4 linked regions of the Alligator mississippiensis genome follow. The protein of the gene in region 1 interacts with the protein of each later gene in a pairwise test. Links are inferred from orthologs where the notes say so. Each region holds a gene or a part of one and is shown on either strand. Other genes may lie near its edges. The genes, in order: ERLIN1, SEC22A, AGR3 and FA2H.

What was found.
Region 2: the proteins of ERLIN1 (region 1) and SEC22A interact in binary tests that used the Homo sapiens proteins (3 or more experiments, as listed by UniProt). The two-hybrid records come from large-scale screens. The link is inferred for Alligator mississippiensis from reciprocal best matches to the Homo sapiens genes ERLIN1 and SEC22A.
Region 3: the proteins of ERLIN1 (region 1) and AGR3 interact in binary tests that used the Homo sapiens proteins (3 or more experiments, as listed by UniProt). The two-hybrid records come from large-scale screens. The link is inferred for Alligator mississippiensis from reciprocal best matches to the Homo sapiens genes ERLIN1 and AGR3.
Region 4: the proteins of ERLIN1 (region 1) and FA2H interact in binary tests that used the Homo sapiens proteins (3 or more experiments, as listed by UniProt). The two-hybrid records come from large-scale screens. The link is inferred for Alligator mississippiensis from reciprocal best matches to the Homo sapiens genes ERLIN1 and FA2H.

The regions. Positions count from the first base shown.
Region 1 is NC_081829.1:10,006,650-10,014,047, forward strand, and holds the start of ERLIN1 (erlin-1), read right to left. Parts: upstream 3,021-7,398; 5' UTR 3,006-3,020; coding exon 2,939-3,005; intron 2,466-2,938; coding exon 2,342-2,465; intron 1-2,341. UniProt on the Homo sapiens protein: Component of the ERLIN1/ERLIN2 complex which mediates the endoplasmic reticulum-associated degradation (ERAD) of inositol 1,4,5-trisphosphate receptors (IP3Rs).
Region 2 is NC_081827.1:246,128,410-246,135,658, forward strand, and holds the start of SEC22A (vesicle-trafficking protein SEC22a), read right to left. Parts: upstream 3,025-7,249; 5' UTR 2,697-3,024; coding exon 2,683-2,696; intron 1,491-2,682; coding exon 1,287-1,490; intron 1-1,286. UniProt on the Homo sapiens protein: May be involved in vesicle transport between the ER and the Golgi complex.
Region 3 is NC_081828.1:163,640,592-163,647,632, reverse strand, and holds the start of AGR3 (anterior gradient protein 3), read right to left. Parts: upstream 3,018-7,041; 5' UTR 2,851-3,017; intron 2,307-2,850; 5' UTR 2,157-2,306; intron 1,509-2,156; 5' UTR 1,382-1,508; intron 1-1,381. UniProt on the Homo sapiens protein: Required for calcium-mediated regulation of ciliary beat frequency and mucociliary clearance in the airway. Might be involved in the regulation of intracellular calcium in tracheal epithelial cells.
Region 4 is NC_081833.1:40,865,676-40,872,565, reverse strand, and holds the start of FA2H (fatty acid 2-hydroxylase), read left to right. Parts: upstream 1-3,883; 5' UTR 3,884-3,924; coding exon 3,925-4,191; intron 4,192-6,890. UniProt on the Homo sapiens protein: Catalyzes the hydroxylation of free fatty acids at the C-2 position to produce 2-hydroxy fatty acids, which are building blocks of sphingolipids and glycosphingolipids common in neural tissue and epidermis.

The sequences.
Region 1 (7,398 bases):
TAATGCTCCAACACCTGGGCATACAGAGCAAGCTGTGCCAGGTCTTCACAGGAAACTAGCCCTTGGTGGAGCAGATCTTGCTTACTAAAAGATGCATCCAGCTGGTGATAGATGTGTGCATTACTTTCAAATACCAACCCTCCTTCAAATGTCTGCCTAAGTGCCTCTTCTGTGCAAATCTAATGGTTAGTCTCTTGCCCATAGCCAGGAACAAGGTCCTAGAACACACTGAAGAATAGCAGCTTCTTTCAGATGAGAAAATGTATGCACCAAAACATTCAGGCCACAGATAAAGTTAACTAAGTGAGAGACTGACATTGACTCCAGTATAACACAAGATGAAGGTGTGCAAGGGCTGACACAACAGAAGTAGAGCGGAGAATTGCAATCTTCAGGGTCACAGAAGCTGGTGATGGCATCTTATACTATTAGAACTAAAAGAAGCTTCTTTGTAGAACAGCCAGTTTTAAAAGCTGGGAGAGTTGGGCAGTCAGCAAAAAGGTTTTATTCCCCACTGGAAAAAATGGTTCTCATTTCAAAGGAAGAAACTTCAATAAGCTTCAATGCATCTAATTTGACAAGATGATTGTTTAATTTAAGTAAAATTAAGAACATCTGAGAAAGTTTGTAACACAGAAAACTTCAAGAACCTGCAGCAGAATCCCTCAGATGTAAGTCCTGCAATAAGTTTCACATGCCATTAGGCAGCAGTCAGATGTAACCCTCCCCATTTTAGAGGTCTGCAAAATAACAGTCTGATAAACCTTTCCAACGCAACTGCATTTTGTCCATTGTGCAAAGCATGCGATAAAGCTGAATCAAGACCAAGATGGTCTTTCATAGATGTTAAGGACAGAAGAAACAGTTACCTACTCTGTTACCTACTCTGGTCTGACCTCCTGCATAGTGCAAGCCAGCTGATTTGCCTTGGTGGATTCTGTACGCAAGAAAATTAAGGGAGTTAAGTCCTACTACACAGGGGAGTCAGGGTGTGATGGTGGAGCAGTTAAAGTGCAAAGGTGCAAATACCATCCCTGCTCTAAACTCATGCCAAAGGCTGTCCTTAGCTGACACACCTGAAAGTGGATACCTGCTCATTCAGGATGGCAGTCAAACATGGCTAGACAGGATGCTAGTTGCATCTCTCCATTATACATCCCTGGCTAAAGAAACTAGCACGCCCTGGTTGTTCAACTTGGGCAGACCTTTGCCACAGACTTTTTGAGAACAAGAGAACACCATGACATGTAAAAGATGTGCAGTAGAACAAGACACTTTTCTTGTAGTTATTTAATTCTGTATTTAATTATTTATTTGTTAATTAAAGTAAGCCAGTCTGACTTTAAAACTCTGAAGTAATGGTGAATGTACCACTGTGCTGAGTGACCTGAAAAATACCCCAGATCATTTAACAATTATCACTGCTATAATTTATTTAATGTAAATGGAAGATTCCCAGGGCAGCAGAACCCAGATACTGCATTTTCTGTTTCTCTGGTGCAGATGCAGTTCATAGATATGACTTCTGTTCTCATTCAGGTGAGAATCCAAGCCTGCAGGGTGAACACTGTGGCAAACTTCACAGTGGTAGGAATTGCACTTCTGCATGCTGGCCTGGAAGGGACTTTAACAGTTAGACTATTATGATTTACTACATTAAATGCTGACTAGATCAGAGGCTCCAAATTATTTTCATGGAGACAAACACACCTTCTGGAGATTGCTGGCAGGAGAATACTCCCTCAACCACATTTGTATAACTTCTCCATGGTAACCAGAGCAACTGCTTATGTGGAAAAATGGAACAGTAAAGTGTGTTTATTTTCAGGCACTTAGCAGCTGAAAATAAGAAGAATAATCCACAGATCTACTAGGAAAAAGGTATTTCTAATAGTTTGGGTGGGAAGGGGGCAAGGGAGGTTTAGGGCCAGGTGCTCAAGACTGCAGGACACACTGTTGGTGAGGAACTCCAGAGTAAGTACGCAGGAGTTCAAAGGCCATGTTTGTGTGCATACTCTACAGACAATTAAAGTTGTACTTTAATCCTACACTTGTTTTGCATGCTAGGGTAGGAAAGGTCATACAAAAAAGAAAAAAAAAAAAAAAAGAGACAGTGGAAATCAAGAATTTTTTTTTTTAAAGAAAAAGCTTATGATTTTAGGCCAATTTTATCATTTATGTATTGGTAATATCCTGAAACAGGGCCCAGACATGGAACATGGACCTGGACAATCACCTACCCAAAGCTTTCCTTTGAGGAAGTGTACTGCATTTTCTGGTTAAACCCAGAAAAACATTGTTTACTGGCAAGAGGCTTGGACATGCTTACTAGGAACAGTACCTGTAATACACAGCCAGGTGACCCTCCTCGACTTTGTGAATGGAGGCGCAGAGGAGAAAAAGCAGAACTCCTGTTGCAGTTGCAACTACTGCTCCAGCCTGGGCCATGGTCATTTTCACATCATCTGTGGGAACAAAACACAGTCACTGTAACACTCGGAGGGCCATTGCCATACACATTCATCAATTTTATGGTCACCTGATGACCAGGATACCCCATCTTTTCTTGCCTATGGATTCTTTTCAAGAGCACAGGCTCCCAAACCTTCTCATAGTTTAGACCCAACCCAAACAAACAGATTGTCTCCCCATTCTTGATCACACAGCCCATCATCCTGCCTACTCACAGACATATGGCAACCTTGTTCCAGATACAGCACTGCTCACATAGTACAACAGTACAATATTAGGAGTGGCACACATATTTTAAGCTTAATTTAAAGCGATTTGTTGGAAAACAAAAGAAAAGGAGCCAGCAACCTGAGTCTAGCCCAGTTTGAGAACTGTTGCTTTACAGCGAGTTGTAAAATAATCCCTAGTGGAAAGCACAAACCTCTTTAGCAAGACTTATCTAAAGATCCTCTAAGTCGTATCTTACCACATCTACAACTCAGGAGCAGCTGGCATGCTGCCGTCACAAACTGACTGGGAGACTTCCTTCCCATCCAGCAGAGGAAACACAGTTCCAAAGGGCAAGAGGGCTAATCTGTTGCTGCTTCCTCTCTGCTCAATTCATTGATGATAGGCAAGAGGAGGAATGAAAGTTTTTGGGGATGCTTCTCCCTCCATCCAGCCAAAACATCTATTTTATTTTTTCTCTTCGGCATGGGGCTGAGGACAAACAATAGAGAAACTGCTGTTCTCATCTCTGAGCAGAAAACAGAGGGGGACCACAGCCTCCCACCTTCATGTCCCATTATGATGGCACTCCTATTTCAAAGGCAGGGCAGTCCATGCTGTTGCACAGCTCACACTGCCACTTATGATCAGGAAAGATTAATTCCCTGTTCTTATCCAAGAGCTCCTTCCCATTTACCTTGACAACCTGAAATTAACCCATCTTAAAAAGGCAACTGGCACCAATCACATACCTTTCTTTTCTGCAAGGTTTGGTCTTGATTTCCTAAGCTCATTACAAAAACTGTGATTTTTATTTTTAAAAATCAACCCACCTATGAACCCACACACCGGCTGGTCACCCACGTAACACCAGCGGTATGCACAGCAACAACCCAGCCAGTGCCAACTCAGCGCTCTCCTGCCTGTCCTCCTTTTTCTGCCACTCTCACTCTCATTACAGTAACAGAACATTGACAATGGCATTTAATAATCTTGGAATACAGCAGAAGATTCAGAGGCCAGTGAGAAAGCTACTGCATGTCAATTATTCCGGGTAAATTGGGATAAAATGGGAATTACAACCAAGGTATCTTGACTTCAACCATGGACAAAGCCCTGGAATGGCTGAACAGGGATTAGCAATAAAGAATACAAGGAGGGAAATATGATCAATGCCAGTCTTGTTAAGTTTAACTTGATATAGAGCTCATTAGTGATTTTACAAGTCTGACTGATAAAAGTAACTGTGAACATAATGCACTGATTTCTGAAGACATCTTAGTATTGCTGATAATTCTGATTTTAAAAAATTAGTGCTAGATAAAAATCAATGGCAGCATTATATGGATTTAAAGCTGATTAACTGACGTATCTCAAAAAGAAATACTTAATGAGTAGGTATAGGCTGTAGCCATGTTGGTCTAGGGATATAGGCAGAAAAGGTTCTTTGGGTAAATCCGATACCTTTTATTAGACCAACTAAAACAGTTGGAAAAATTCTTCTTTGCAAGCTTTTGGGTATAAACACCCTTCTTCAGGCTGAGGAGGTCTGCAATGTTCTGTGTTCTCCTGGATGGAAAAAGAAGTCAGAGGCCACTATGCAAGAATGCCAGTCAGCAAAAATACTGAGGTGGTATGCATTGCTGCTCAAGTTCCATAGAGATCAATTCTTCTCCTAACATTATACCACTGATGAAAGGAATGAATAAACAGAAGGAAGAAATCACTGCTGATGAACTGGGCAACAGAAGATACTGTCTAGATGACAAATAGTGAATAAAAAAAATAGTGAATAATAAAAAACAAACAAACAAACAAAAAACAACAACAAGAAAACCTTTCCTTGGAGTCTCAGAACAGCACAGACTTCCTATGCCTGAAGAAGGGTGACTGTGCTCAAAAGCTTGCCAAGAACTTTTTTCCAACTGTTCAGTTGGTCTAATAGAAGTAAAAACATCTACTCAAAGAACTTTGCCTAAAAGAAAAAGGTGCGTTTATACTGGACTATTTCCCAACGTATAAAATGCACCTGTGCATAAGAAGTCTGCCCCCAAAAAGGATAAAATTGTAGCAGAAAGGTGTTTAACATAAATTTGACTGCATATTGGTCAGCTTTTGTTAGTTATTCTAGCAATCTGTTTTCTTATATAGCTTTGGTGTATAAAACATGGCATATTTCCCACTCAAAAGGAAATCTAAAACTATGTCACGCACTAGAAAATATAATAATAAAATCATATCTAACAACAGGGAACGTAGGTCACATGGACAGCATGAGGGACTGCAAAGCAGGCACTCTGGGGTGGCGATAGTGGTCACACTAACTGAACGTGAGCTGACAGTACAGAGTGGAGGCTAAGCAGGTGAACACAGTCACTGGCTATATGAACAAGAAAACTGGAAGCAGGAATAAATAGGTGTTAAAGCTTGTACAGGCAGCACTGGCAAGATCATTCCTGGAATACTCTGTTCAGTTCTGGTGCACAAATTTCTAGAAGGAGGGTTGAGAAGAGTCACAAGGAACAGATACATAGGTAAAGGGGCCAGGGCTCTAAAGAGCTGCTTCACAGTAGCTGCCTGTGAGTCTGCCCTGCCCTCCTTGTAAGAAAAGCTGAACTGGAGCATCTTATCCCTACAGCAATTTAGCATCCATTCATTACAAGGTAAGGACATGCCTACAGTTTTCACAGAGAAGCTGAGGCACTGTAAAGTCCTTCTGTCCCCACAACAGGTTTCTCACGGGTCCATACCTATAAGAACAATTTGAGAAAACCTGCTTCTTAAGGAGCTCAATCTATTTATCTCACCAAAGAGAAGATTACATGGTCATTTACAAAGAGAGATGGTATCTGATAGCAGATAGCTATTTACCCTAGCACACAAAAGCAGAACAAGAATCAAACGCTGAAAGATTTAAAAAAAAAAAAGTCAGTAAAACTGGAAATAAGGCACATTCTTAACTAGGAGGATAATCAATCATTTGAACATTTAAACAGGTTACCAAGGGTTGTTCTGGAGTCTGTTTCTAGGAGAAGATTAACCAAAATTATCCTTCTAAAGTACATCCAATGGTTAAGCTGGTGTGTTAGATACCTTATGCTAGGCAAAAAGCACACTAAATGGATTATGATCACTTTCCAGCCTGAAAAAAACCCTTTACGTTAAAAACCTCATAATATTTCTCAAGTAAGTTTAATTGAGCAGGACACCAATCCTCTTCTGTGCAGTGCCTGGTGACAAACACTGTAGCAAACTGAACACCTGGGGGTGGGGGGGAGCTATGGCCAGCTGCAGGAAGGCAGGGTGCTTATAAGCCTGCCTGGAAGGACTGAGCACAGCTGATAAAGATGACTGTTTAGGCCCTAGGAGTTCAAAGTCTCCTAGGGTTCCCAAAGGGGAAGAGTAGCCGAGAGGGAGAGAGCAGGTGGGTCAGCTCCCCAATGAGCCCCAAGCACCGCACTAGTGGTGGCTTGCAGGACTCAGAGAGCACTCAGAACCCCTAGGAGAGGAAAAGTCAGTTCTTAAAGAGATCTTCCCAGAACCACCCATCCTAGCCTTTAAACAAGCACCGAACCTCACCAACCTCATCACCAGAAGCAAACTTCCTACAGCCCATAACACACCGAATGGATCCAGACCATGCCATGACAAGAAATGTAAAACCTGCTAACACATCTCTACCACCCCCACAATTAATATAACCCACAACAAAACCATCACCATTCCTGGATCTGACACCTGCACTTCCAGAAATGCAATACATCTCATCCAGTGCACCAAATGTCCTGATGGAAAATATATATGAGGAACCAAACAACAACTGCTTACCAAACCACATACCAGAATGAACGCACATCAAAAATCTATCAAAGACAAAAAAAACCCGATTACCTGTGGGTGCACACTTCTTACAAGACAACCACTCTCTCCGATCTCTCAAATGGAATTTACAAAATATCATGGACTAAATATAGACATAGGATTTATGGCACATTATAACCTGCCTGACATCTGATAACCCCAGGTAACCTCTATGTTTTACCAGCTATGTTCTATCACCAGGTCAACATTTCCCCTTCCCCTACCCCAACTTGCCTGTCTCACACTTTTCATCTCCCATGGCCCCTGATCCGCAGTGCCACACATTCACATGTTCACACACCTGCATTTTGCATGCTGGCTTCTATTCCATCCAGGAGAACACACAACACCAGCAGACTCTCCCTATGCCTGAAGGGTGTTGGTGCCCAAAAGCTTGCAAAGAACAATTTTTCCAACTATTTAGTTGGTCTAATAAAAGATATCACATTTACCCAAAGAACCTTGTCTATCATATTATGCAACAAACTCACAGACCAACACTTGACACCCAACCTCATCTTCAAAGTAGGTATTGTTTCCTGTACCACCAACAGCATGGATCTCTCAAAAAGGCTGTTGCTCATAGTTCACTGGTGATAGCTTATCTTTGGGTGCCAGCACATAACCATACTGGAGCTACTGGATCTCTCCCAGGCCTCTAATATCAACTGTCATGAAATGCAACTATTCTGTCACAGAGACAATGCCATTTATAAAGGATAAAATGCTAGCTATTTGCTATTCCCTGGATCTCAATGATAAAAGCACTGCTTATGCCGGTACCCGTGTCATCAGGGCCCCCAGCCTGGATCCAGACCGTGGAGCTCCCCGTGAGTTGAATCCAGACCTGGCAGTGGT
Region 2 (7,249 bases), on another chromosome or scaffold:
GGGTATAGGGTTTGTACAACAGGGGGAGGAGGGCTAGGGAGGGTTATGGCATGTGTGGAGGGGGAGGGAGAGTAGCTGAGGTGTGTGAGGGGGTATGGGGTGTGCATTTATGGCAGTGCGAAGCGGGTGTGGGTACATATGTATGGTGGGGTGCATGTGTGGGACTTGCCCTACAAACACAATCATGTACACTCTCACTCATTGCCTAGAGCCCCTGCCGGTGCCGGAAACCACATGGAAAGAAGCACCACAGCAGAAGGGAAACTGGGGAAATGGTGGTGGCAGGTGGGAGCGAGCAGGTGGGCAGACAGGAACAAGCTCAGTGACAGCTGGGTGGGAGTGCAGGGCCCACGCCGGTGCCCCAGGGCCAGGGCTGGTTGGGCCCAGAGCAGGGTGGTAGGAGTGTGGGATCCAGCCTAGCCGGGGCTCTGTGGAGCCAGACTGGCTCCCTCCTCTCCCTGCTGGCACAGCCTAGCCTGGTTCCATAGAGCCCCCACCAGCCCAGGCCCCACGCTCCTGCAGGCTTACTTTGGGCCCCTGATGGCCCTGGCCCTGGGGCACCAGCACTGGCCCTGCACTCCCATTCAGCTATTGCTGCGCTCATGCCCGTCCACCCATCTGCACATTGGGGTGTGTATTTTAAGCAGGGAAGATACTTCCTTCACTGGAAAAGCAGCAAGCCTGGAGCATGCCATGCAGCTGCCAAGATGGCAGAGTCCTTGTTAACTCTCCCAGAGCCACAGCCACTGGCTGAACACAGAAAACACAGAACCCGGTGCCTGAAGCAGCAACTGAGCTGGTGGCAGTATCTTGATGGGGGCTTGTAATGTGGAAACAACACTTTATTTTCAGGAACTTATATAAAGAACTACTTACTGTAAAGAACTAACAGTCTTGCTACTGCCCTTGCAAGGGTCTGGAGTCTAACCTTGTGTGACACTGAGCAAGTCCTGCTGGAAACATAGCAACTAGAAAGCCTGGCATCCCAGAAGAGAGTCTGGGTAAGGCAGCTGGCACCAAAAACTTCCTGGTGCCACATTTCCTGGATGCTACAATCCCAAGAGAACTTACTTAATGTCATAGAATTAGCCATGAGTATGGAAAAATCCTTTTTGTATGTTCTGCCTTTAAAAAACAAGGTATGCGCCTTATTTTGGAGAAGCAGGGTGTATGTGAGATAAGACAGTATTCTTAAATTGATTAATCACCTCTATACTGTAATTCTTAACTTGCTACAGCAGATACCACTAGGAAGCATTGCAAGGATAATGAGAGAAGAACCTTACTTTATGTTATACTGCCCCGTTTTCAGCGTACATCTGTCGGGAAGCTGAGCAAGTTTCCTTGAGAGCGCTTTAAAATATTTCCTACATTCCTGCACACCTGCACTCTGTTCACAATCTGTAGAGGCAGAGAGTGGGAGTCCATCCCTCACACGGACCACGGAGGCAGATAAGATCATAGACATCGCCAGCTGATTTAATAGAAACCTAAGAACAAAAACACACTCAAACTTATAAACACACTGGTTAAAATAAAAGCAATTTTTTCCAAAAAGGATCTGCAGCCAGATTAAACATCAGTCTATGATTAGAAGCAGTAACTGTGGCTTCAGGCTGCTGTAAATCTGGCTCAACCTTACCACACAGCACTGGGCAAGTCAGCACAGGACTGAAGCTTGAACACTAATTCACATAAAACATCCTACTGCATAGGCCCAACCATTTCCAAAGACACACACAGGATGCACAATCAGACTTCTGACTTATCTTAATAATATTATTTCGATCTTAACAGCTTGCAGAAGCTCCAAATGCAATTGCAGACCATTCTTTTATTTATCGTTTTGTATTACTGTAGCACTTAGAGGTACCAAGTGAAATCAAGGTTTTAGACATAACCACGCAAGGACATAATACAGCCTCACTAATCAAGAAGTCCTTGCCCTGAAGAACTTACACTATGAACAGAGGCAGCAGCAAAAAGAAGTTTTATTATCCACTTTTCAGAGAGGATGGTTACGCTGCCTCTCAGGACTTGCTGGTGGGCAGCCGCCTTACCTCCGTTTTGAATGGCAGTAGGTCCAGAGGAGGCTCAGTAAACCTCACCATGGCATTCCCCAGCTGGGCATGCAGGCAGCGTACATGTGCCCTGAAATCTGGGCCCTGCCTAGGTTAAATGTCAATATGTGCCTAACTTTAAACATATGCAGAGTTCCACTGAATTCAATACAGATTTTTAAAGCCAGGCAAAGGCTAAAAAGCCTCTGCTAAATGGAGAGCCACTTAACCTAATGAAGATCAAATAGAAAACTGGTGCACAGCCAAGAATACAACCCAGGGTCTCAAGTTGTAGTTAGTATCTTAAACACAGGACCTTTCCTCTCTACCTGGGCCTTAGGTTTTGGTATCTGTGAGATGAGTAGCAATATTAATCTAGCTTACACAATTGCCGAGTTGTTTACAATAAACTGTTTGTAAAAACACAAGAAAACCATACATGAGCTGTTATAAAGGACAAAAAAAGATACTAAATCTAATCTCAGAGATGAGGATAGCAATGAATAAAATAAGCCTGAACAAAAATTAGGCGGGCAAGGTTCTTTGGAGAGATGTGGTATCTTTTATTAGACCAACTGAGTAGTTGGAACAAGGTTCTTTGCAAGCTTCCAGGCACACGTACCCATCTTCAGGCATAGAGAGACTTCTGTTGTTCAAAAATTATTCTTTTTCAAACTATATAATACTGCTCTCAACTTTCTCTAGCAATTATATATGCTGTAGTGTGCTTGGCCTGCATGTATAAAACAAAAGCTTATTAAAATATTCATGACACCAAAGGAGAAAATTCACAGCAGACATTTTAAAACACACTCCCATGCAATCTTTATAAAAAATGACAAGATATATTTTTTAAATCTTCAAGCTGTTAAAAATGTAGCAAGACAAGTAGCATGTAGTACTCTAAAAGCAAAACTACTTGTTTGCTTAGAAACAAGGTAGAAACTTCTGTGAAAAGGAGGTAAAATTACTAGAATTTAATATAAATGAAAAAGCAGCATGCTTCCTTCCTCCTGTAATTCCAAACACCACAATATAAACTGCCCACCACACATACTATACATATTACCAGATAAAACGTCAAGAACAAAGAAATGTCTACCTCTGCCAGACTGTGCTGATGTAACCTAAGCAGGTCAAAGACAGAAAAAGAAAACCGATTTCTCAATACATCTGAAATACATATTCATAGTGTAAAATAACAGCAGCACATAAGGAAATGGCCACTTGTACATTTGGAGCCGTTTCAAGAGGGTAGCAACAGTTTCCCCTTTTGAAATGGCTCCAAATGTACGTGTCCTGGCTCTAGGTCAGAGCTGTCCAACTTCTAAGCACCCAGGGGCCATGTGTCCTGGGGACCTACACTTCCTATTACACCTTGTGATCCCCCCCCTCCTGCTGCAATGGTCACGTGCACTGGTACAATGCCCCCACACCCCAAGGCACAGCCCCAGACTCACCCTTAGCTCCTCATGCTGCACGTCATCCCATCCCCTGAAGTGCCAGAAGCTGAAGGAGGGATGGGGAACCTGGAGACTTCAACTGCTATTGCAGCCAGAGTGATGGGAAGAGCAGTGGCTGGGGACAGCCCAAGGGTCACACGGCAGTTGGACAACCCTGCCCTAGTTAACACCCTTTGGGCCAAGATTTTAGAAGTTCTTTACAACCTTTATGGAGCATTTCTAATTCGAAAGCAACTCTGAAAATGACCCTCACCTGCTCATACGTTCTCAAAACTGAACAACAAAAAAAAGATTATGTACAAAGTTAATTTTATTAAACGAGACTCATCCTAAGTGATTCACTTCATAAGCACAAAGACAGGTATAGTGTCCACAGTGAACATCTGTTTCTATTTTTAGTGTTGGAAGAGAAGGAAGGAATTTGATATTGTATTTCTTTAGTTCAGGGACTGGCAACCTAGGGGCCACAGAGCCCGTGGACATGGGACTTCAGCTGTAGGCCCTCTCCTGATGCCAATGCAGAGATAAGCTACAGGTACAGACGGATTCCTAGCACCCGTCCCCTCCGACTTAGGGTGGATTATTCCAGCCTACAGCTGAACAGGTTCCCACCCCTGCTGTAGTGATATTTCAGTCCCTTCTTATATACTCGACTCAACCTTTATACTGGGGAATCCATCGTGTTAACTACAAAGGTTCCCTATCACTACAGATTATTTCCCAGGAGTTGTCCCAGTGCCATTCTAATTTTATTGTTCATTCAGTCAAACCAGATTTCTACCAAGGTTGCAGCAGCAGAAGCCACTGCTGTTGCCACTAACTTTGTAAGTTAGTACCTCCGTAGAATCCCTTGCTGTGTAAAATGTGTGCCATGAACTGATTGGAATCAAACATAAAAATAGAAAAAAAAGTATGAAAAAAAGTCCTCTGAAATGTCTGGTGTAGACTTACCATAGCAACGGGCAATTATTTGGGCCTGCGGGCCACATAGGCAGTTTTGGGGAGCTGTTACAGGCCAGTCAGCAGCACCACCCCCTATCTCCTCTGCAACAGCTCAGAGCTTGTGTGCCCTACAGCTTCTCCCTGCCAACAGCACACAGCAGCAGCTGAGTGCACAGCTCCATTCCTGGCCTGCCCTGCATCTGGTCCAGACTTGCCCTGGCTGGAGCAGACCGGCTATGGAGCAACAAGAACCCACATGCATAACATCGACCCTGGCCTGTCCCGTGTCCTCTCCAGACTGGTCTATCCATTATGAGCAGTGGTGGCAGACACAGCAGATGCAAGGCAGCCCAGGGTCAGGGCTGTGTGCAGGTCCCAGCTGATCCGGAGCTGGTCCACTCCCATTAGGATGATTCCAGAGAGGACATGGGGCAAGCCAACGGTTGAACCCAGGTCCCCAGCAGTCCCCATGGGGCTGGGCTGGGGCTAGGGCCATCAGCAGCTAGAAGCTGCTGCCACATGAGCTGCTTAGAACTGGAGTCCAGCCGTGGAACCACCCCAGCCCCACTGCACACCTAGGAGGCAGGATGGCCCATGGGCCAGATGGCGCCTGGGCTAGCTAGGAGCAAGGGACCCTCCACAGGCCGAATAAAGTCCCTCCATGGGCTGGACCCACACCGACTTGAGTGATGTTGTACCTGTGATAGTGCAGGAATTATGTGATGAGTAAGGATTTCTTTTAGTGATATCTTTTGTTAGACCAGCTTCACAGTTGGGATAGCATTAGACAAGCTTTTGAAAGCAAGGCATTTTTCGTCAGGTCTGAAGAATGCCTTGAACTGAAAATCTTGCTTAACTCTTCCAGCTATGCAACTAGTCCAACAAAATATCACAGAAAGAAATCCTTGCCTCGGGTGTAGACTTAAACATTACTACAAATCTGCAAATATGAACAGAGAATTGAGTAGAGCTTATGGGAATAGAGTTGCTTCAATCCTAACCGGGACTATTGGGCACTACTTCAACACAATGTAATAACTGATAACAACAAAAATGCATCAGAACAAGATAGACTACAATTCTTTTCTCCTCCACTTACCTGCCCAAAACCCAAATTCATGAATCTGCATTGCCTCGGCGGTACTGAACAACTTCATTAGCACTTAATGGGATGAAAGGAACCCAGCTTCATGTTCCACTTTAGGAATATGTGGGTACATCAGTGCTATCCATTGCTGCAGAGAAACTCAGAATCCTAACACCAGTTCTTAAGTAAAATATTGTTTTCTTCACCATTAAAACGTTCTTCAGAGTTGAAGTTCACGTTATGCTGTGTGAGAAGGCAAAAACAAATGGAGCAATTTAAGAAGTAATAAGTGGGTATCAAAATTAAAAGTGCACATTTATCCATTCCCATAAACTCCAAGAATTAAACAGCAAGCAAGACAATTATTACACGGTGAGTCACGGATATACAAGTAAAAAGATAAACTGAGCAAAAGAACATTTAAAAAAAAAAAGATTCTATTACATTATGCAAGTTTCCAAAATGAAATCACTTTAGTCATTTATAATCAGGTGAAATAATACTACAAAATACAGACCTTTATTGGCAAAGAGATTGATAAATGATCAGCTGTAAATGGGTCTCTCTCTGATTTCTACCATTTATTTAATAAATGCAATATGACTGATCTCTAACCTTCTCTGGGCTAAAGGGATTAATAATAAATAATAATTAAAAAAAAAAAATCAAGAAAGTAGTATTGAATAATTCTGTATTTCCCTTTCCAAAACATTCCTACTGCCAGCATATTCAACCCTGAATCTAATTTTCTGTCAATATTTGTTTTTACTCTAAGGATTAAAAGTAAAGAATTCAAATAGCCAATATCAATAATACACATAGGCAGCAGAATTTAGCGTGGATAAAATCCCTCTTATAGATCTAAGTTGTCTATCTATTTTACATATTTATTTTATATATAAATAAAATATTCACATAAATCCTAGATAAACAGGATTCTGAACCCTTATTCATATCAAGGCAAATTAGTTCCTTTTTCAAAAGATAAGCCTTCCTAAAACCTACCAGCTGTCTTCCATGCATTGTGAAGTGACAAGAGAACAAAACTATGTTTAGACACATGGCCTCTTTTATATCATTAGTGAAATGTTCCCTATTAAACCATCCAAATGAAGACTTTTATTTTCTCAGCCTTTCAAAAATAGTGCCAGAGTGCTGCCTAATAATGCCATTTCCTTAAAAGAAACCACTGTGGTTGTAGATGCATGCAAATATGGGGAAATACCATATTTACTCAAATCTCAGATGATCCCCCCCTCCATTAGATTCTACGCATGGAAAAATTTATATATTTGCTATAATTTCCCATGTACAGAATCCAATTTTTTGAGGGTTATCTTTAATTCATTCCCCCCACTGTGACAGGGCACAGGCTGTGGGGAGGTCAAGTAACTTGCCCCCTATTTGTACCTGGCCCCGTCACCTCTGCCTTCAGGGGGTTGGACTAGATGACCTCTGGAAGGTCCTTCCAGCCTCACTTCTCTATGATTTCCATGAACTGGCCCTTCAGTGGACAAGCCCTGGTCATTTTGGTCCAGGAAGTGCTGGAAAGGCTAGTGTCCTCAGATGAGCAGAAGCCCACCCTTGCAGGAGATATCCTTGCCATCTCGGCCACATTCTGTAAAGCTAGGCAAAAGCTTAAATGGGTGAAGTGTCGCACATAAAATCTCATCTACAGATTAATTTTGAGTACTTTC
Region 3 (7,041 bases), on another chromosome or scaffold:
AGGCCCTGCCCCCTTCTGGCCAGCTGACTCTCCTTAGTTGCCCCGGCAACCCGCAGCTGTGCTCATTAGTGTCCTGCCAGGGCTCTCTCCCTGGCAGTTTCTCCTCTCTAGGAGCAGGAGCACCGAGGTGCCCTGCGACACCCCCAAATAGGAACATAGTGGCTACAGCGGTCTTGGAATTTTGTCACAGCAGGCCATGACTGAACACCAGTAGAGGAATAACTTATCACCCTTCCAGATCATCAATTATGAGTACTTTTAGGGCTTTTACAACAGCTGTCCATAAGCCGTCTCCGGCACCACAAATATTACTGCAGCCAACTCCAGTTCTGCCAGATAATTTTCATCAAAGGTTATTATATATACCTTACAATATCAATACAGGAAACAGATATTATTCCAAGTGAAGATAAGAATGATTAGTCCTTAAAACTAAGCAGCATTCCTTGAAAGATATTCTCTCTCCTAGAGATATCGTGTAACTAAAGACATTTCCCTGGCCTCTAAAATAATCAATTAAGCCACCAGAGTATTTTCCCCCTTCCCTCCACACCTGGTCCTTTATTTTTTTTGAAGGGGCTTGGGTATCCCCTTTGTTTAACATACCTCCTCCTCAGAGTTGGATGCAAAAGCTGTTTTTGCCTCAACCTAGGTCTGGACAAGAACCCCTTTTGATACTCATTAGTGGTGCTCCTTAATTTACCAAAATGCACTGATGTTGTGTGTGGAGTAATGTGAGGCCTTCCATTTCATAAAGAGGGACTAGAAACACTGCTTTAATTCAGAGGCTGAAACATTTTTGGGAATGGGAAATCCACCTCAAATTCTCTATAAGGCTCTGGAATTAAACCTACCACTTACATTTGTTTGACCTTTTATGAGCACCTGTAGAAACATTAATGTCTATGACTTTGGGAAACATTCTTAAATTTGACTTCTGAAATGTACACATTTCCAATTTCCTCCAAGATAAATGAGGAACTTTTCAAAATCAGTAAGATTCTTTCCAGTTTCAGAATTTTTTTATTTCAAGGACTATAGAAATATTCCCCTTGCACTTAACCTTTATCATCATAAAGAAAACCTATGAAGGTTTTTTTGTGGGGAGAGATCACTGGCAGTGTTATTGCTGGATGCAGTTTAAGTGTATACAGTTTTGGGAATTTTGGATATTATGACAACCAGTACCAATAAGCTGGGTTAAACAGTGCATGATGGCAAATACTGTTGAAATTAGCTACCTCTCCACATGACACTCCCTTAGAGTCATTTTTTCAGTTATTCTCCAGACACTTTTTTTTTTTCTCCTCTCTCCTTCCCCATCACTACACTCAAAGTACTTTGTTAGCAAACTTTTTAAACACTAAAAACTTTTGCTCACCTTTTAGTAGATCAGTTCTCTTGATGAAAGTTCCTCCTTCTGGAAGTGTCTAGTTAAAAGTGGGTGTGATTTATACAAGAATACCTGACCTGCCCAGTTGTGTGTGTATTAACAAGAGAACATTCACCTGCAAAAATGACAGGAACCAGTTAGTCAGAGACCAAGCTCATGGTTTTTATTTCTTCCCCTTCTTTCCCCCCTCCAACATTTTACTCTTGTGGGTTCTTAGGCTTGTACACTGAATACTCAGATTTCTCTCCATCTTGGCTTGTATCAGGTGTCTTTGTATTAGGCCTCAAAGTAAATAGTGGTTTGTGTGTGTCTGTTACTTTTCCCCCCAAATAGTTTGAGTTTGGCTTATGTCCCAGTGAAAAAAGAAACCACCAATGAAAGTTGGAACTGTGTGTGCTATTGTTCCTGATGAATGTCTGAGTTCACTGGTGCTTGGAGATTAGGTATAAAGCTAATAGAAAGATACAAGAGTTACTTTGTGTGCAGGAATGTAATTAACGAATGAAAGCAACATTTTTTTTTTAATTTAGGAAAATAAGGCACTGTTTTAAAGAACATTGTGTAAAATACCTGCTGACTGTTTCTTTAAATTGAAATATCTAAAAAGTTCCTGTATCTTTACATGCTCATAATTCTAATCCAGTTTGGCAACACATGAAAAGTACTTCACTGTCCTTGAACACAAAACACATTGCTTTGGTCATTCTTGTCCTTTGTTACAGCTTTTGCATAGACAACAAGATGCATCAGAAGCAGTCCTTACCACTGGCTTCTTTCTCTGTAAGGAGTTATTTTATTCTGTTGAGATCTTTAATGCATTCATTTAAACTGATTTTTTTCCTTCTCTTTTCCGTCATTTGAAGTTTTGCATCCAGCTCTTAACTTTGCTGCTTGGCTCACTGCTGTTTGTAGCCTATAGATACCAAAACTCATTAAGAGATTACAGCTATCACATGATGATTTCCCCATGCAATCAAGCTCAACTGAAAAATAAAATCTGATAACAATAAAACGTTTGCTTTGTTAGTTGGCCTCGTCCAGTACTCATTCTCTGTATTTACTATTTCAGTGCAAAGACTATTTTTCACTGAAACATTGTGAAAATGTTCATCATATTTTCAGTGCAAAAGGCAGCTTTAATATTTATAATGAAGTGAGTAAACCTGTGCATTTCAAATTTGCTTGAATTTAAATGTAAAATATTTTCCATCCCTTGGTAGATGGACCACAGAGAAAAGTTGTGTTGGTTAGAAAATTGAAATCAACCATTTACTTTTTTGTGCTTATTTACCTGTTAGTGTAAATAACCACTACCACAAAAGCAGCCATCAATGTTCAGCCAGTTATCCTTGATGTAGGAATTGTAAACACAAAATCATACAAAGACTCAGTTTTTCTTACCTCCCATGTTTTCACACATCAAGTGTTGCAGCAAATGCCTGAAACATGATACCTACCTTGCTGGTTCTTTGCATTGTGTTGTATAGGCAGGTGGGATGTTAAAATTGAAGATGGGTTAAATGCAAGGCCTCTTAACTCACTGGGCATCCATCCAGATATCTTCTGTTCCCCTTCCTGACAAGCCTACGCAGTGGGTGTGTCTATATGTGCATTTACTGCACAGTAACTTTGCAGTAAGTTACTGCACAATAAGTGGCTTTTAGACCAGCATCTGCATGTACTGTGCAGTAATGCTGTGTGTGCTTTGACCTGGGAGTAAAGTTTACTCCCAAGTCGGAGCACACACAGTGTTACTGTGTAGTAAAGCATCTACACATGCCTTACTGTGCAGTAATTAAGTGGGCATAAATTTGCTACAGGTAGCAAATTTATACCCAACTTGGCATAAGTCACCGCAGTTACTGTGCAGTACAGGTGTGCACATGTAGACATGTACTCATACTTCACAGTAACTTTTGGTTACTGTGCAGTAACCGCAGTAACTGGGCATGTGTAGATGTGTCCAGTCATACCTATTTCTTGTGTACTCCTAATAAGTACAAACTATTTTCATATACCCTACAGAAGGATGCATTAGTCAAGAGTATGGAAATACTAGCCAAGCTTCCTCACCTTTGGCTTTTTCTTATCTTCTTCCCAAGGATTTGGTCCAGTTTCATGTGCAGGCACAACTGAAATTGGGAACACTGTTCATTTATAATAATATTTTCATTTCAAAAGCAGTATATGATCTATGGTCTTGAAGCATTATTTAAAAATTAATGAATTCAGAATCTCAGTACCTCTGTGAAGTAAGTACAGCTATCTTCTTTTTTAAGATTAAGAAACAGGTGCCTAGGGAAGGTACACAACTTGCCCAAAGGCACAAACATTCTTGGTAGACCTGGAAATGGAACTTGCACTTGTACAAATCCTTTCTTTTTTTTTTTAAGCCTCAAGCTATAACACATCATGAAAACTCTATGCTCTCAAAAGATCCTGAAGGGACTTACCAGAGCCATGCAAAGAAAAGAACAAGATGCAAGGTATATGAATTAATTAGGCCACAACTTTTATTAACTCATCTGGGATCATGATGCAATAATGAATTGTACAGTGGAGACCATGATTTTTCCTTTGATTATTCCTACTTATGTGAAGAGTTGCTGTTTTTTTTCCTTCTTCCCATTTGTTGCAGCCCAGTGCTGGTTCCCCATCTCCTCTTATGAGAATGAATTAGATATCATTTTCTCCTATAAAGATTGTGGGATACAGATGAAAGAGGGTTCTCTCTCCACTGTACTCTCTCAGGTTTCTCAACAGATACATGAATGGGATCATTTAGTTGGAGGATGTTTTGGTGTTAAATGGTTTCAAAATATGAGAGGTGTTCCTTCCATTATGGTTTGCTGGGCAGGGTGGAGGACAATTCTCACTTTGTACTTGTTTTCTATGATTATTCTTCTCAGAGAGAAATGTCAACTCACTTTTCTTAGTTTCTGTGGGAGCCTTCTTTTAAGCCCATTACCAGAACTAACTTATTAGAAAACCAGACTCACCTGTGGAATTACTCCCTGCCCTCGATACCTGCCAAGTTGCAGTCACTTGAACCTTGAACCTCTCTGCTTCTCCTACCAGCTATCTGACCTGCTGAGGGGATATATATGAGGTATCAGATGAACACAGTACTTTATATATTTACAGTTTTGAAGTAACTTGGAAGCCTACCAGTGGCTCCATCCTTACAATAAAATAAATTCTAAATACCTATCTATTTGGGCATTTGATTTTGGGGGTTTTTGTTATGGAAAATGAGAGCTTCCCTTCCCCCCCTTTCATCACCAGGACACAGGTCCGGCTGCAGCTATCCCTCCCCCCACTCTGTGGCACTGAGCAGCTTTTTAGGCTAGGGACAGAAGTTGCACATAAACCGGTTTAAGTGATCATAAACTGGTTTAAATTAGTAACAGAACAGAAGCTCACTTCACATAAACCAATTTAAAAATAGCTGAAACTGGTATAAGATAAACCTAATTGAATGTAGTATCATACTTAACTATGGGTCAAACTGGTTTATGAAACTTCTGTCCCAGACCCATTCTTGGTTCAAGTTAAATCAGTCCCACAGCATCCCAGCACACTTTCCAGCCCTGTGCTGGACTATACTTTCTGCTCTACCAGAGAAGGGTTTTTGGGGGGCAGGGGAAGGGGTAAGGAAGCAGGGACTGCCCTCCTCCTCAGGCAAACCAGGGCCAGGGAGGGTACAGAACTACCCTGCTGATAAGCTTACTGAAACTTACTGCTGGCTGTGACTGGACAACAAATCCCAGAGGTACCTGGAAACAAGAAGAAGAAGTGATTGGCAACCCTGGAGAGTCCTGCTGATGTGATTCTGGACTGCAAATCCCAGAGACCTAGGGGGCAGCAGAAAGAGGAAGCAAACCCACCATCTATACTGGCTACAGGCATGCTCTAGCTCTCCCTAGCTTCTGACTGGAGCCACTTCAGACATGTTGTTGTATTTCCTGAATAAGAAGTAAATGTGCACCAGTTGTTTCTCAGTTTAATCTTTGCAGCTTAGACTAACCTGAAAAGGCTGATTTGATTCAGCCTTGGACTTTTTGACTATCTGTAATTAGCCTTAAAAGAGAAAATCCACATTTTTTCCTGTGGGAAATAGAAAACATGAATCCCTGATGACCAGCAGTGAGAGACATCATGATCGGTAAGAGCAAAGCACAAATATTGTCCCTACTCCCAGCTCCCATAAAGGGGATGTCCCTTCTGCATTATACCCCAGTTTGGAACTAGCTTCTGCTAGTACCATTCAGTACAATGCAACACTGGTCAGGCTGCAGTTGGAGTACTGAGTCCAGTTCTGGGCACTGCACTTCAGGAGGGACATGGACAACATGGAGAGGGTTCAGAGGAGGGCCACCCACATGATTAGGGGTCAGCAGGGCAGGCCCTACGAGGAGAGGCTAAGGGACCTGAACCTGTTCAGCCTCTGCAAGAGAAGGCAGAGGGGGGACTTGGTGGCTGTTTACAAACTAGTTAGGGGGGACCAGCAGGCATTGGGAGAGTCCCTGTTCCCCCAAGCACTACGAGGAGTGACAAGAAATAACGGTCACAAGCTGGCAGAGGGTAGATTCAGGCTAGATATCAGGAGGCGCTACTTCACTGTGAGGGTAGCTAGGATCTGGAACCAACTTCCAAGAGAAGTGGTGCTGGCTCCGACCCTGGGGGTCTTTAAAAGGAGGCTGGATGAACACCTGGTGGGGGTAATTTGACCCCAGTACTCTTTCCTGCCACGGCAGGGGGTTGGACTTGATGATCTGCTCAGGTCCCTTCTGACCCTACCAACTTTGAAACCATCTGCTAATACTGCCTGGATAGGAGAGCACCCACCAAAGCCTGAGGACAAGGGGAGCCATAGGAAACATGACCAGTTTTCTTCCTGCTTCTGAGACAAAGTTCTCCCCATTCCCCATAGGCTGCAAGAAGGACACCGACAAGGCCAATTTTGGCCATCTGTACCAAATCCATTTTTTCATGGAAATGTTAAAAGGTACAGTCATGCATAAGGCAATGTGCTAAAAAGACACTGCTGTCCTAGGGAAGGGACTTCATAATGGGAGAAATTGACTTAAACATTGTATAGAATCATGGTAGACACCTCATGTTTCTAAATCCATTCACTGTTCGTTAGAAAGACTTGACTGAAGCTGTCTAACCTGTCTACTTTTGCATGTATATAGCCTTGAGGTCAGGTTGACCTGGAAAATGGGACTCACAGAAGCAGAGGCAGACTTCTGCCACAGCTTGTCAGCTGACCTGGCTGACAGTTGGATCACAGAGCAGTTTAAGTGCAGTAGCCATTGTGTGCCCAATACCAGTACTTGCACTAAAAATGCACTTCTTCTATGCTGTGTTTAAACTTGGCCTTTTAACTACAAGAGCTGGATGGTTACATTTAGTGTAATAAGGAAGGGGAGGCATTTTGCACCCCTCTTCCCTCCTTTCCCCAGATTATTTATTTTGATGTAAAACAAACAGCTAACTATACATTGTCTGTAATTATACACGTGCTGTAGATACACTGCTCTGAAAACAAAAGGCATAGGAATAAATTAATTACAGGTGGTAAGTAGTAGAGGTGCTCTGATGCATCAGTCTGATATTGGATCGGCACCGATATAAAGAAAATT
Region 4 (6,890 bases), on another chromosome or scaffold:
GATGAATTTGGGCTGCACAGTGTGCAGCATTTTCAAGAAGTGGGAAGAAGGATAGCGGAGGCAGGGAAGCAAAGAGAGAAGAAGCAACCAGGTACACTGTGATATCAAGGACAGGAAGGGAGAAGATGGAGATTGCCTCTTGTGTGACTCCAGCACTCTCCTCCTGCAAGTGAGTGAGTGGATTGCAGAGGAGCGAGGAGCCATGGCCTTAACAAGGGGTGGGACTGTACTGAGGAGCTGTGTGGAGATAGGAAGATACTGTTGTATGCTCAGTGCAGAGGAAATCTTCAGAGTATTTAGGTGCCAAATTCTGATGCCTACCAAGCACCTGAAAACTAGGATTTTGGGGGCACGTATACATGTTGTGTGGCTACTGTGCTGTGTGCACGGCACATGGGTAAATTTTGCTGCCATGTCATTGTAGTGACGCAGTATACCTGGGGAATGTGCTGCTATAGTGACATCGCTGGTGATCATGTGTAGACACATGTGAAATCACTTGAAAGAAGACATGTAGCATGGGAAATCTGAGATCTAATGGATAAAATTTGATAAAGTTTGAATAACTGATAATAGAATCCTGTAATGAAAAATCATGCGCTTGTTCTGTTCACAGCTTGTCTCTGGCTTACAAACTATTTCCTCACAGTTTGCTCCCATTCTGCTCTCTCCCCTAGGGTTTTAAACTCCCAGCAGGATACTCCCTCACTATCCAAATGCCCCAGAGCTGGAATTCCTCAACAGGGCTGATTGTTCCTTCCTAAAGGGCCAGACCACCCTGTTATACTGGTTAAGAGTGATGCAAATGAAACATTCAAGGCCAGATTCTACTTCAGCTATTATGGTAGTACAGAAGTGACATTTGTTTGCAGCCTTTAGAAGATTTATTCTTAGACACTGAGGTGACTGAATTGAGGGATGAGTTTCATCCAAAGAGTTCTCAAGACTGAAATTGCCAAGTCCCTCACAAACATATACAGTCTTTCATTAAATACAGCCAAGTGCTAATTGGAACATAGCAAATGTTTTTACCTGTCTTTTGAAAAAAACTGTAGAGATAACATGGGAATCATACACTGGTCATCCTTTTATCTTTTGCAAGATCGGGGTGGGGCAGCACACTTCATACAACATGGCTTAATTTCATACAATTCTATTAATTCCTTCAACCCTGCCTTCAGTTAACTTTAGACAGGCTGTAAACTAAGAATTAGATTTAAATTAAATTAAATTAATTTCATTATTTTAAAATGTAAATGGTTACATTTATTAAATTAACTATTTAATAATGTAAATAAGTGGACACACCTCTTTCAAGTGATAATCACTTGTCATTATCCAGGCTTGCCTGTAATAATACAGACCTACTTGGCAGGCTCAGGAATTCTTGTGCCACCCCTTTTGTAGGCATTCTCTGTGAAACCATCCAACTACCAGTTGTGCCTAAAAGCACCTGTGTGTTACTTACATGATTAACTATAGATGCATTAGCAGCACTTAGGGTGGAAACAAATGTCTCATTTGTGCCACCATAAAAATCTTTATAGCAGCACAAATTATGAGCAAATAGATGTCATTATCTTTTGTCACACCACATCAAAGGGAAAACAGTGGTGTAACAGAAAGTAGTAATAGGCCCTGCTGCTTGATTGCAGCAGACCTTTATTAGCTCTGTGGTGGAAGAGTAGGGGCAGCCTGAGCTGATCGCACTCTCCAGATCCCCTGGCCCCTCAAGTCCCCATAGTACCTGCCCACTTTCCCTGCTTACAGAAAGGCACCGCACTTACCCAGTCCTGTATCCTGCTCAGTCAGACTTGTTCCCCATGATTGAAGGAGATGGGTCTGGCTGAGTTAAAATAACAGGGCTTTTCCCCACACAGCCACACTTGCTCCTGTCATCACAAGGGATGAGGCTGACTGAGTGGGGAAAGGGAGCCTTTTCCCTGCTCAGCCAAAACTGCCTCTGGAGACCACATTGCCCTTGTCCTGCACCATCAAGGGCAGAGCAAGGGGTGATGTCCATTTCATCCAGTGAAGCAAATCAGCTGTGCCTCAACACATCATGGCACAGCTGATCCATTTCATTCAGCACTGTAGATTTCTAGTGGCTAGCCTTAGTGCCACTTATGTGCATACTAGGTCCTGTTTAGTCCAGCTGTGTGATTAGGCTTGTTCTTTTGAGCATGGTTACTTATACTCTTTGGTGATCCTTTATCTTTTTTCTGCGATTGCTCATTTTAGAGCTTAGCAGTTGTTTAGTTTTACCCACAATGTTTCTATGAGGCCATTTAGTGCACTAGATGAGGTGTACCACATGCTATGATAAACATGTAGGATTCATAGATTCTGATGGTTTCATTCCGGTGAGTGTTGATTGTGATGGCAGTGAAGATGTGCTGATAGGTTTTGCTTCTGTTCTTATGATAGTGGCATGTACTTCTTGGGGTTTGCTGGCCAGCAGGGAGTTTGTTTCTGATGACAAGCTGGAACAGGTGTGTAGCTTATTTGAAAGCCAGGAGCAGAGGTTTGGTAATATATCTCACCATGTCCAAACCTCTTCAAGTACAGGTTATCATTGTTTGAGGATCCTTGTTATTGGTTCCAGTGTAGGATGATATTACTCCCTTAATGACAATATTGCTATTGCTATTAGCAATAAAGTACCACAAACCAATCTGTCCTTCAGGATATCCTCTAGGATAGGGACAGCCAACCTGTGGTATGGGAGCCACAAGTGACACAGGCTGCCTGTGTGGCATGCACCATATCAGAGAGGGGACAGGCAGTTCAGTAGCAGGTAGGGCAGAGAGGAGAAAGGAGTTGCAGATTGGTCAGGGAGGACAGAACAAGGAGCAGAAAGCAGAATGGGGCAAAGGGAGAGGCGTGGCACCTGGGGAGGGTGTGGGACTAATTTGTGGCCTTTGCAAATGTGCAGATTCATATCCAATAAACATGAGTCAGTCACTTGAGCAGTCACGTACTAAGCTACTGTTTCACCTTCCCTCTGACAAAACTTTAAAGGCTGTGAGGGAAGGTGTGGCTTTGCGTTGTGTAGAGAGGTCTGCTGCCACCAGCTGCAGATCTCAGAATCACACAAATTAGGGCTGGAAGGGACCTCAGGAGGTTATCTAGTCCTGTGGGGTTGCAACAATATATGAAAAGGTCACAAAGAAACTTTAAAAATGGATTCTTCTTTGAAGGAGAAAATGGGAAACGGTTTTTCCCTTGCAAGCCAGCACAGTTCCAGGCTGGCAGGGGCTGCTTGCAGCCCCCTGTGCCTCCATACCCACCCTCTACCCCACATGCTGAGAAGGGCTGAGGCCTGTGGGTCACAAGTGAAGGGCACTGGGTTGGGACTGGTCATCGATGTTATGAATAGGTCATGGTACAAAAAAGTTTTGAGAACCACTGATCTAGTCCAACCCCTGCTCAAAGTGGGACTGTCAAAGCAGGGCCTTCTAAGTGTCGGTTTCTTGCTGGTCCATGAGAGGGGGGCCTGTGTTTGGATCCTGAGGAAAGCTGAGGCTGCCTGCCTTCAACTGTGGGCCCAGCTGAGGAAAACTGTCCTCGGGGTTTGCCCTGAAGCGAAGGGCACCCGCTGCCTTTGGAATGGGCCGTTTGGGGCTTCTCCTGCAGCAGGCGAGGCCTGAGCTAGACGCACTCCGGCTTCGGGGTCTGCGCTGCGTTGAGCTGAGGCGCCCCTGAGGGCCGGGTGGGCCTCTCGCCCCCTTCCCGCTCAGCAGCAGCAGCGTAGCCCCGTCCTGGGGCCGCTCCCGGCCGCCGCAGGCACCTGCAGCCGCGGCCCGGCCCGGCCCGCCCCGCCCCTCGCGCCGCCCGGGGCGTGGCGGGCGCAGCCGCCGGGGAGCAGGTGCCGGGCGGGGAGCGGCTCAGTCGGCACCGGGCAGCGCGGTGTCCTGCCCCGCCATGGCCCCGTCGCCGCGCACCTACAGCCGGGCCGAGCTGCGGCAGCGCTGCGCGCAGGGTTCGTGCTTGGTGCTGCGGGGCCGGCGGCTGTACGACGTGACGGGCTTCGTGCCCCTGCACCCGGGCGGGCAGCAACTGCTCCGGCAGCTGGCGGGCAGCGACGTGAGCGCGGCGCTGGACGGGCCCCCGCACCGGCACTCGGACAACGCGCGGCGCTGGCTGGAGCAGTACTACGTGGGCGAACTCCGAGCCGAGCCCGGCCCGCAGGTACCGCCCCGCGCCTCCTCCCTCCCTCCCTCCTCCCCACACCCCCCGGGCGGGCCGGGGGCTGCGGGGGGGCCGGGGCCGCTCCGAGCCCCCTCGGCGCCCCGCTGCTAAAGGTTTCCTTCCGCGCGGAGAGCGGGGGTGCGAGGGGCAGTTGAGGAGGGGGCTTAGTGCAGCCGGGGCGGGGAGAGCGTCTGCTTGCTTCACCCCGGCCCGGGGGCTCCGGAGAGCTGCAAGGGGCCGGCTCCTCCCGAGGCGGGAGGGGGGCACCACAGTAGATGCCCCAGCATAGAAAGTGATGCCAGAGCAAACAGCAGGCTCCTGTCGCTGCCTGGCACTGCCAACCTGCTCTATCAATACTGCCCTTTCAGAGCCCATGCAGAAGCGCCCTCCTCTCCGGAGTTCTCACTGCAAAGCCTTACATTGATGTCCTTGTGGATTGGGCAAGAAAAAGAAGTTGATCTAGCCTGAAAAGCCAGAATTTTCTTCCAGGGGGAGGTGGGAGCTGGTGAGACTTAGAGGTGGCAGAAGAATTCAGTGAAGCAGTTCTCAAGTAATGTGTCGTGCAGAAGAAATCATCCCACCCCACTTGTGTCCTGGATGCCTCTGGCACTGTGCAGCTGCTGTTACCTTGCTGGAAGTTTGGGGGGGTGGGATTTGAACAAAGCCCGAGTAGCAGCTTTGCAGTTTGCTGCAGGTGGTGTATGACACAAAGTGGTGTGGCAACCTGTGAGGGGGAAGTAGACTGCAGGCTTGTGTTGAGCCTGGGAGTGGAAAGTGCTCAAAGGGGATGGGCACATATGGCACTTGCTCTGCTTTCTATCATATCACTGCTTTGGGAACTAGTTCATGACTGTCCCTGGACAGAAGTCTCCACACACTGGCTGTTAAGGGTGGGAAGTACAACCCTCACCTTGGGCATTGCACTGATGCCAGAGTGGCACCAGGGGGTGGTGGCATCCCCAGACCATCCTGCCTTCCAGGGGCCAGTGCCTGGAGTCTCTCAGGAGGGAGGGAGGGAGGAAGACCCAGGCTGAGGCAGGGGGTTGGAGTGGAGGGGTTGCCAGGTGTTGGAGACCTGTTTAGCTCCCTCTGCTCATATTTCCCAGGGGTCTGGGTGCTTTGCCCCTCCCCTCCCCCCAGAACTCTGGCTTTTCTAGCCTCTTTCCTGGAGAGCCACCTTCTGAAGGGATTGCAGGAAAGTGGAACTGACATAAACTTTCTGCTTCCCCACCACTGTGATCTCTTTGGCCAGTAGAGTCCTGATTGCATCCCAGAGCAGCCCTGTTGCTCTCCACAGGTTTGGGGGATGAGGAGCGGTGCACTTTGGGATGCTTGGAAAACTGACCAGGACACTACGTGTGGAATGCTGTTTGCACGTAACACTGAACTGGTTCACCAAGGACTGGCTCAGAATAGTACTTGATTTTCCTGGGGTGCTTTTGAAATGTTCCAGGAAGTTTAAACTGATCTAAAGTGGCCTGTACATCCAGACTTGTGGGCTAAGTACAGACCATCAAAAAGCCTGAGGCTGAATTGATTTAATCTTTGCAGGTTAGTCTAAACTGTGTAGATTGAACGGATAAGCAAATGAACAGACATTCACTTTGATTCCACAAATCCAGCCACATGCCTGCAGTGGCCCAGGCCATAAGCCAGGGGGTGCTAGAACATACCTCCTTGCTTGGCTGGAGCAGACAGCTTGGGCCAAGGCTAGCCCGCCTGCCCACCCTGCAAGGGAGGGTGGGGGCTGAGGGGCAAAGCATCCTGGGATATGAGAGGACTGAGAGTTAACTTGAATCTGGAGGGGATCTGGGACAGAAGTTCAATACATTGATTTAACCTAAATCAGTTAAGTTTGATACTGCATCCATCCAGGTTTATCTTAACTCGTTTCAGCCATTTTGAAAGCAGTTTGTGTGTGCTGAGCTTCTGTTGTGTACTCAACCTCAAGGCAGCCTTCCATAACTTTTCTGAACTTTAAGACACCCCAGTTGAAAAGCACTGAGAGGGATCTACATTTAGAAAAGAACTGGAGGGGGCCTTGAGACTGAAAGTTGAAATCACTCATGTAGCTGGTGCCACTTAAGGGCAGCAGCGGCAGCCGATCACCCTGCTGAGCCCTGCTCTTTCCACTGTCTGTCCTGTCCCAGCCCCTGGTATGTACTTCAGGGGGCAAGGGCAGCCCCTGTTGCTGAGTCTCCTCTTCCAGGGTCTTGCATGGGAGGTGGCGGTGGCAGTGCCCCCCTCCCCGCCCCCCCCCATTCTTGACGAGAAATTCGCTAGTATTTCAGAAGTTATCATTTGAACAAATTATAAGTTAAAAATCAAACATATATTGTAACATATTTTAATTTTATTTAAAAATACATATATTTTGTCTGGATTTATGTTTTCATGAGTAGTGGACATAGACATGATTGCATAATAATTAAAATAAAGTCTTACTGTGGTATGTTGGGTATGTGTGGGAGGGTGCACATTTTTGGGGAGGCTGCTCATGCATTAGGTCCCAGGTGCCATTTGCAATGGTGGGGAAATTTTGTTTTTGGAGTATTTCTTTGTGGTGAAAGACAAATATGGTTCTTTACAATTTGTTCAAATGTCTACTGTTCCTTCTCTGTTGGTATTAGTGGTGTGTGAAGCGGGCCCTATTTGATTCAGATGTGACCTGAATCAGGGACAGAGATTCAATTCGTTGA